2 linked regions of the Nothobranchius furzeri genome follow. The protein of the gene in region 1 interacts with the protein of each later gene in a pairwise test. Links are inferred from orthologs where the notes say so. Each region holds a gene or a part of one and is shown on either strand. Other genes may lie near its edges.

The links.
Region 2: the proteins of znrd2 (region 1) and cct7 interact in binary tests that used the Homo sapiens proteins (3 or more experiments, as listed by UniProt). The two-hybrid records come from large-scale screens. The link is inferred for Nothobranchius furzeri from reciprocal best matches to the Homo sapiens genes ZNRD2 and CCT7.

Annotation. Positions count from the first base shown.
Region 1 is NC_091750.1:56,222,164-56,225,916, reverse strand, and holds znrd2 (protein ZNRD2), read left to right. Parts: upstream 1-1,036; 5' UTR 1,037-1,115; coding exon 1,116-1,131; intron 1,132-1,465; coding exon 1,466-1,617; intron 1,618-2,158; coding exon 2,159-2,243; intron 2,244-2,385; coding exon 2,386-2,825; 3' UTR 2,826-3,114; coding exon of another isoform or gene 3,115-3,127; 3' UTR 3,128-3,500; downstream 3,501-3,753. Other genes in the region: leucine repeat adapter protein 25-like, read left to right, coding at 3,115-3,127, 3,751-3,753. UniProt on the Homo sapiens protein: Might play a role in mitosis. Antigenic molecule. Could be a centromere-associated protein. May induce anti-centromere antibodies.
Region 2 is NC_091754.1:61,263,199-61,266,712, forward strand, and holds the end of cct7 (T-complex protein 1 subunit eta), read left to right. Parts: intron 1-1,996; coding exon 1,997-2,203; intron 2,204-2,299; coding exon 2,300-2,530; 3' UTR 2,531-2,870; downstream 2,871-3,514. UniProt on the Homo sapiens protein: Component of the chaperonin-containing T-complex (TRiC), a molecular chaperone complex that assists the folding of actin, tubulin and other proteins upon ATP hydrolysis.

The sequences.
Region 1 (3,753 bases):
ATATGTATATAAACACATGACAAACACACGATTCATGACAGAATAAAAGAAAGTCAATAAATAGGTCGAGAAATAGTGAAAATACAAAATAATTAGCTGGGTTACATTTTATTGCTGGCGGCCCATTCTAGCTGACCGATGTAATTTGGATGTTGGTTGTCTTATTTTTTGGGGTGCACATTTTGCATATGTGTTCTGTTTATGTGGGCTTACCTCAAAATAATCTTGAAACATCTCTAAACAAAACCTATTTCACAGAACAGGAATAGATTAAGGCTAAATTATGTATGTATATATATATATATATATATATATATATATATATATATATATATATATATATATTGCTGGCTACCTGTCCAGGGTGTACCCCTCCTGTATGCCCGTTGACTGCTGGAGATAGGCTCCAGTGCCAATACAAAAAAATAAAAAAATAAATCCCCAAACACAGCCATTTGGACAAAAAATAATTGGCTGTCGTAAAATCGTTATTGGTTTTGTAAAACCAAATAAATTACTTATTGTGGTCTCAACCTGAATAACACGCAAATAGCCTATAGGTGGGGCACATGGTTCACAATTAAGTCACTTTCAAAAGCAAAACCGTTTATTTTAACATTTGCAAGTATGTTATCTCAAGCCTATGTGTTCTAAGGTTTGTATCAAGGCAAATCGCTTGTAAATGTGTTAATATTTAATCGAGTAAAGATTGTTTTACATCAAGCTGATCGCTCACCTTCCAGCTGCTACCATTGAGAGCAGAGGTCTGTTGTCTGGGGTAAGATGGCCGCCGTTTAGCTACGCCCTCAACTCTCGCTTTCACCAACTAGTGTTTATATCATGTATATGTCGATGGTTTATATACACATAGCTATGGTAGGCTGGAAAAAACGGGCAAATTTGTCCACTCTGCATTGACTTTGGACAGTAAGGAGACCCATCCAATATGGCGGCGACACAGTGACGCTCTCCAGCGCCGGGTGTCTACATGTCTATGCGCATCACCCCCACATGGGGGCGCTCTAACCCGCTGCATGGTTTCAGTTTGATGAACGAAGAGGAAGTCGACGACAGCGCCTGATGTCATCACGCAGAACGTGTAGCACTGAAGCAACATGGCTTTGAATGGAGGTATGTGAACTTAACTGTTATTTCCTTGCTAACTTTGCCGTTTCACTGTGTGTTTTAGTGTCTTACGTCGTTTGGCACTCATTTAAGCGGTGATTTCTGCGGTATTTTTATTTTTATTGTAATATTTTTCATCGCCACCGGGGAAAGTGTTATCTCCACGATAACAGCGTTGTATTTCTGGCTAACTTGTCATTTCCTGACCCCTTTTGATAAAAATTCAGCCAAACAACGAGAAAATAAATCACCACGCGTAAATATTAAAGCTGTGTTTCTGGTTGTGTAGCTTTGCACTGGTGCGATTCAGTTAATTTACTCCGTTGTTGCTGACCTGCAGATGAAGAGGACTTTGAGTGGGAACCTCCATGTGAGGCGGAGATGAAGGTGATCCAAGCTCGAAGGGAACGGCAAGATAAAATCAGCAAGCTGATGGGAGACTACCTTCTAAAAGGCTACAAGATGCTGGGGGAGTGCTGCGATGCTTGCGGGGTGAGTTCAGGCCCGAGGCGGTTCTGGGGTGGGTCCAGGGTGGGCCAGTGCCACCCTGACAGCAATCTTGCACCTCTCTGTGGCCTCCCTGCTGAGGACAGAGCCTAAGCATTAATAAGGAATTTATCTTTTGTTTTATGAAAGTATTTTTGCAAAATGTTTACTTACTGACTTATTCAAATTACCTTAAGAGAACTGCGGTTATCATTTTGTTGTAATGACACACTAAAAAAGGTAAAAGCAAATCTTCAAAACAAGCTAAGCTTAAACTCAAACACTGTCAAGGAACGCTCACCCCTCCCATCAGCGATTGTCCTTGGCCGGAAACAGGAACCTGCATTGCCAGAGGAAAAGAGATGGCGCTAAACACCGGTCACTGTTTTCTAGGTCCAAACATCTTTTGTTGACTGACTTCAAGTGGTGTTTTTTTGTTCTTTTTGGGCCTCTGGTAGTTTGTCCTGAAGTTGAAGTAGTAACAAATATTATAAAACATAATTATGGCTATATAAGTGATTGTGTGTATTCGTGTGTGTGTTTTCAGACTATTCTTCTACAGGACAAGCAGCAGAAGAACTACTGTGTCTCGTGTCAGGAGCTGGACTCTGATATCGACAAAGATAACCCTGGTGAGCGCCAGTTGTGTCTGCTCTCCCCTGATTTTGGAGCTCATTAGGCCCTAAAAAAGGGCAGCTGGTTCCTCTGTGGTGTCTTTAGGATTTAATCTCTCCAGTTCATATTTCAGTCCCACCTCTTTGTTCCGTTTTCCAGCTCTGAATGCTCAGGCTGCATTGTCTCAGGTGAGAGAGCAGCAGCTTGCAGCTCAGTCCCCTCCACCGACCCAAGCCTCTCAACTCAACGAGACACCCTGCAGCAGCAGTCAGGCAGGGGTGACGGTTCCTCAACCCCGACCAGAGCACTGTGAGGGCGCTGCTGCTGGAGGAAGAGCCCTCCTGCCTCCACCTCCCGCCCCATCTCCTTCAGCTCCTGTCTCCAGCCCAAGCGTAGCTCCCATTCGTACCCCTGTCAGTCCGCAGAGCGCCGCTCTACGACCTGTGCTGCAGGAAGCCGAGGAAGCAGTTCTTACTAAACTTCGCTGGGCCACTACCCAGTTACAGAGTTCATCCTCACTTGAGGCAAGCATCCAGCTCTGCAGCCTCATCACCAGCTGCGCCAGCTCACTGCGCAGCCTCAAGGAGCTCAGCCAGTAACCACAGGAGACTGGTTGACTCTACGGAGTGACGGGAATATCTTTTCTTGTTCTGGCTGCTGTAGGGTACAAACTTTGGGTCGGCTTTATCTCTCTGCCTAATTCTTTGCTTAAAGCTCAAATTAAATGGAAATTGGATCACAATTCAAATGTGCTCAAGTTCCTCTTGAAAAAGTGTAGGTGTGCCGATGGTAGAAGTATGTTGCTTTTGTCAAACTGTAAATTATGAGTACAAACATTCATCAGTTGTCAAAGCAGATCGACTTTCTTTAGTTGTCTTTGATCGTTTGATGAGTAAAAAAGGTTTGATGTAAATAACATAGTGTGTCTGTGAGGACATTTTGTAGTTCAAATTTTAAATTGAGACTCAGAATCTTCATTTTCATATTTAATCTAGAACATACACACCTTTCCCGCTGTACATTATTAGGACTTAATATTTGAAAAAATTAGTGATCCGTTTTCTAATTATGTGACTTAGAATAAATTCAGTTCTGCTCTGTAGATGATCATTTTGTCCACCAGAGGGCGCCGGTTTACATGCTAGCACATAGGTGGTTAAATAAAAAGTTTATTCTCAAATGTGCAACTTTCATGTAAATCCTTCGTTTTAACTCGCTAATCTGAAGCCTTTTGGAAACTGACAGTTTTTCTTATATAAAGTGTTTGTGATGAAGCTGTTGAATTATTTCACTGCCATTTTGTGTTTGGACTACATGACATGTCCTAATTTAAACAGAAACAAGATAAAAAACGTGTGAACTGATCAAATTGAGCAAATCTAGTAGAAAAAAAATAAATAAATGTAGTGATCAAATCGGCTATATCCAGTCCAGAAAATATATTACTGTTGCGTTTTAAACCATCAGGCTTTGTTCAGAAACCACCTAAGTAACTGGCTAGTGTCTTCATTAATCTGACATAAGGAT
Region 2 (3,514 bases), on another chromosome or scaffold:
AGGTGGGTAACCGTCGGCCGAGACGAGGGGTTCAGACTAGAGTTGTCACGGTGTGTGAATGTAACCTCACGGTTATTGTGACCAAAATTATCCCGGTATTTTTTTAAACACGTTACATTTTCAGACAACTACATAAACCCTGTATATCAGGAAATATTGTCCTCAGTTTGTGTCTAAATTTTGCCTAAAATGTGTTATTTTGTAATTATGTTGTTTATTTGTTTACATTTTTCCCCTTTAGTCTTTAAAATACCAATATTTGCCCATAACTTCTTATTTTTTGTCTGTTTGATGTAGGGCTGCAACAAATGATTATTTGGATAATCGATGAATCGGATGGGGTCTCGACACGATTAATCGATTAATCGGATTACATAGGGACATTTTTAAAAACTGCTAGGGAAACGTTATTTCTCTCCTTCCTTCACTTTATTTAACACAACATTATTAGAAAACAGTTCAATAGCAGAAAAACAACATGCCATCACCTAAATTGTCTTATAAGGTGTATAGACAGAGACCCTAAGCTACATCTATCTGTGACCTAAAATGCTTGGTCCAAGTTAAACAGCTTAAAGAGCAAGTCAACCCCTACCAGAGTCTAACTCCACTCCCACTTCATGTTTGAAAAATGCAACAAATGCTGTTACCTGGCAGACCAAGAGGGCGGAGCCGCTAACAAATACACACACACTCAGGCTCACGACAGCATTGTGACATCATAATGTACCAGTTTACATCATAGCATACCTCTTAGCCAACGAATCGATGACGCAATTCGTTGCCAACGCTTTTAGTAATCGATTTTCATTGAATTTATCGATTCGTTGTTGCAGCCCTAGTTTGATGTCATCATTTTAAAAGTATTAGATCAGATGATACTCAGTACTCAAGTAGCCTTCTACTCAGATACTTTTTTACCCTTACTTGAGTAATAAACCCTACATCAGGAAAATATTGTCCTCGGTTTGTGTCCTTCCAGTGAGCTTTGCAGATGTGGGAAAATGTCATCAGGCAGTAATCGTTGTTAAATTCATAATTATTCTCGGAGAGAGACCAACTCTTATCTGCCCCTGGGAGCCCCGTAATGCATAGCGTCATTTCAACATGGCGGTGTCCGCGACACGGTTTATATGCAGGTAGCGGCGCTGCGGCTGCTTTATATAGCGACTCGTTGCATTCTCCCTCAACCCAAATCCTCGGATCACGCATTTTAGCTAAAACGCTAACGTTAGCTTGCCTTGCGTTGACTGTAGAGTTGTGGGTGATGGTCACGCAGATGTGTCATGAGATTTGAAGCGTTGCTGCCTTTCACAGACACTTTTTCTGCACGTGCTGCAAACAGGATAGCCGTCTTCTATCAACTGTCCCTCGGCATTCTTCAGATATCCAAAAGATGCCCGTACTTCCCACTTTGTCTTCTTTGAGGGATAATAAATGTCCTGAGCACTGCCGTCTCCTCCTCTGGCCATTATTTCAGCTTTAGCTTCAAGAAAGTTTTGGTTGTAAACAACAAAGTGCGCATGTGCCGCCGGCAACTTCAGCAGATGATACGGTGGCTGGTAAGGGTCACCGCGCCTACACCGCAGCCACGGTAATCCACCGAGATAATACATTTTTTTAAAAACAAGACGGTTATTATTATTGTCAACTTTTTTACCGGGGTTTACCGCTACACCGGTTACCGTGACAACCCTAGTTCAGACCAGCGTGATCTGAGTGGGAGCCCCAACAGGAAACTCATCCAGACGACATTTACTTCAGTTTTGAACTGAAAATCTATTCATAACATTTTAGACCGTTTTTATGGAACTGTGGTGTAATTAGTGAGAAAGTGTGGTCAGACGTGTTTCCCAGCTAAACATTAACCACAATAATCAAGCAGCTCTGGTCTCAAATAGAGAATCTTCATCGTGTTTAACAACCTCTAGTCCCGAGCGGGTTTCTGTTGGACCCGGTCCCACGGTTTCCTGACTTGCTGGCGCCTCTTTTGCAGAATGACTCCGTCGTGGCGGGCGGAGGAGCCATAGAGATGGAGCTGTCCAAGTACCTGAGGGATTACTCGAGGACCATCCCCGGGAAGCAGCAGCTGCTGATAGGAGCGTACGCCAAAGCCCTGGAGATCATCCCCCGACAGCTGTGTGACAACGCCGGCTTTGACGCCACCAACATCCTCAACAAGCTGCGCGCTAAACACGCACAGGTGGGACGGAAGAAGCCCCGGTCACGTTGATCACAACCCCACGGCGGTGCTGGTTTTGTTTAAATGACGGTTTTTCTGCTTCGTCTGTCATCACAGGGTGGTACTTGGTACGGTGTGGACATCAACAGCGAGGACATCGCCGATAACTTCGTCGCCTGCGTCTGGGAACCGTCCATCGTGAAGATCAACGCCCTGACGGCGGCGTCGGAGGCGGCGTGCCTCATCCTGTCTGTGGACGAGACGATTAAGAACCCCCGCAGCAGCATGGACGGGCCTCCGGGAGGCGCCGGCAGGGGGCGGGGCCGCGGGAGACCACACGCCCACTAACGCAACATAAACCAAACCCGGTTCTAGTCAGATCCAGAAACGGAAAGCTGCAGGTTAAGAGTTAATCTGGATTAAATGAGAGAAGTTCATGAATCAGTCCAGACTGTTTCCTTTTTCTGTTTTTCACTCGTAGCTTTGTCTCCGTAAGCATTTCACACGTTCATCCTCTGTGGTCACGGAGATGTTCTGAAGAACAACGGCCAGGAGAGCTGGTCAGTCACTGTAATCTGGCAGGTTTACTGACGGAATTAGGAGCAGTCCCGAACCTCTCACCGGTGAACGGCTGCAAATCTATTTATTGGACCATTCTTATCAATAAACTCACGGCTGAAATCCTTCAGGAGGTGGTGTGTTCCTGTCCCGAGTCAAAGACGAGGCTCTTTCTTTTATTTAATAACAGGAAGTACGTTACATGTGAAACAAGATGCACGGTGGTGTTGAGTTAATCCTGACCAGAGGTGATGAGGCGCAGAGCATCCCTAGAATATTTAATGAGCTGCACTAAAACACGTAATAGCACCTTTGATGTCTGCAGTGTGATGAGGGTGCAGAGCTGCACCTGGTTTCTCTCGTGGAGCTGCAGCATCTTGGCAGGTAAAGAAGCCCCTCCCCCAAACAAGCTTTTGTTTTATTTTTAATTATTGCCAACAAGAAAAGTCAGTTTAGCACTGATTAGCCTTTGGTGAGCATGGGGGGGGGGGGGTCCTAGGGCTTTAATTTTACATAAATCTTTCTTTTGCGTCACCAACAGTAATCCCAGTGACGTCATGTCCCAATCCTTTGTAATCCAGGACCCTCTCAACGAGTTTTAGATGTAGTCCTTTCACCGCTAGATGGCGCACCACCGTCGCAGAAACGGGTTCCGTGGCAGGATCTAATGTGAGGAAAAGGTCTTTGAGTAGAGTCTCTAGGTAGTTTGTTCTGTGAGGTCTTTCGGTCATAAGAGGTTCGTTTCAGCCTCCATCTGGTGATAACTTCTCGTGT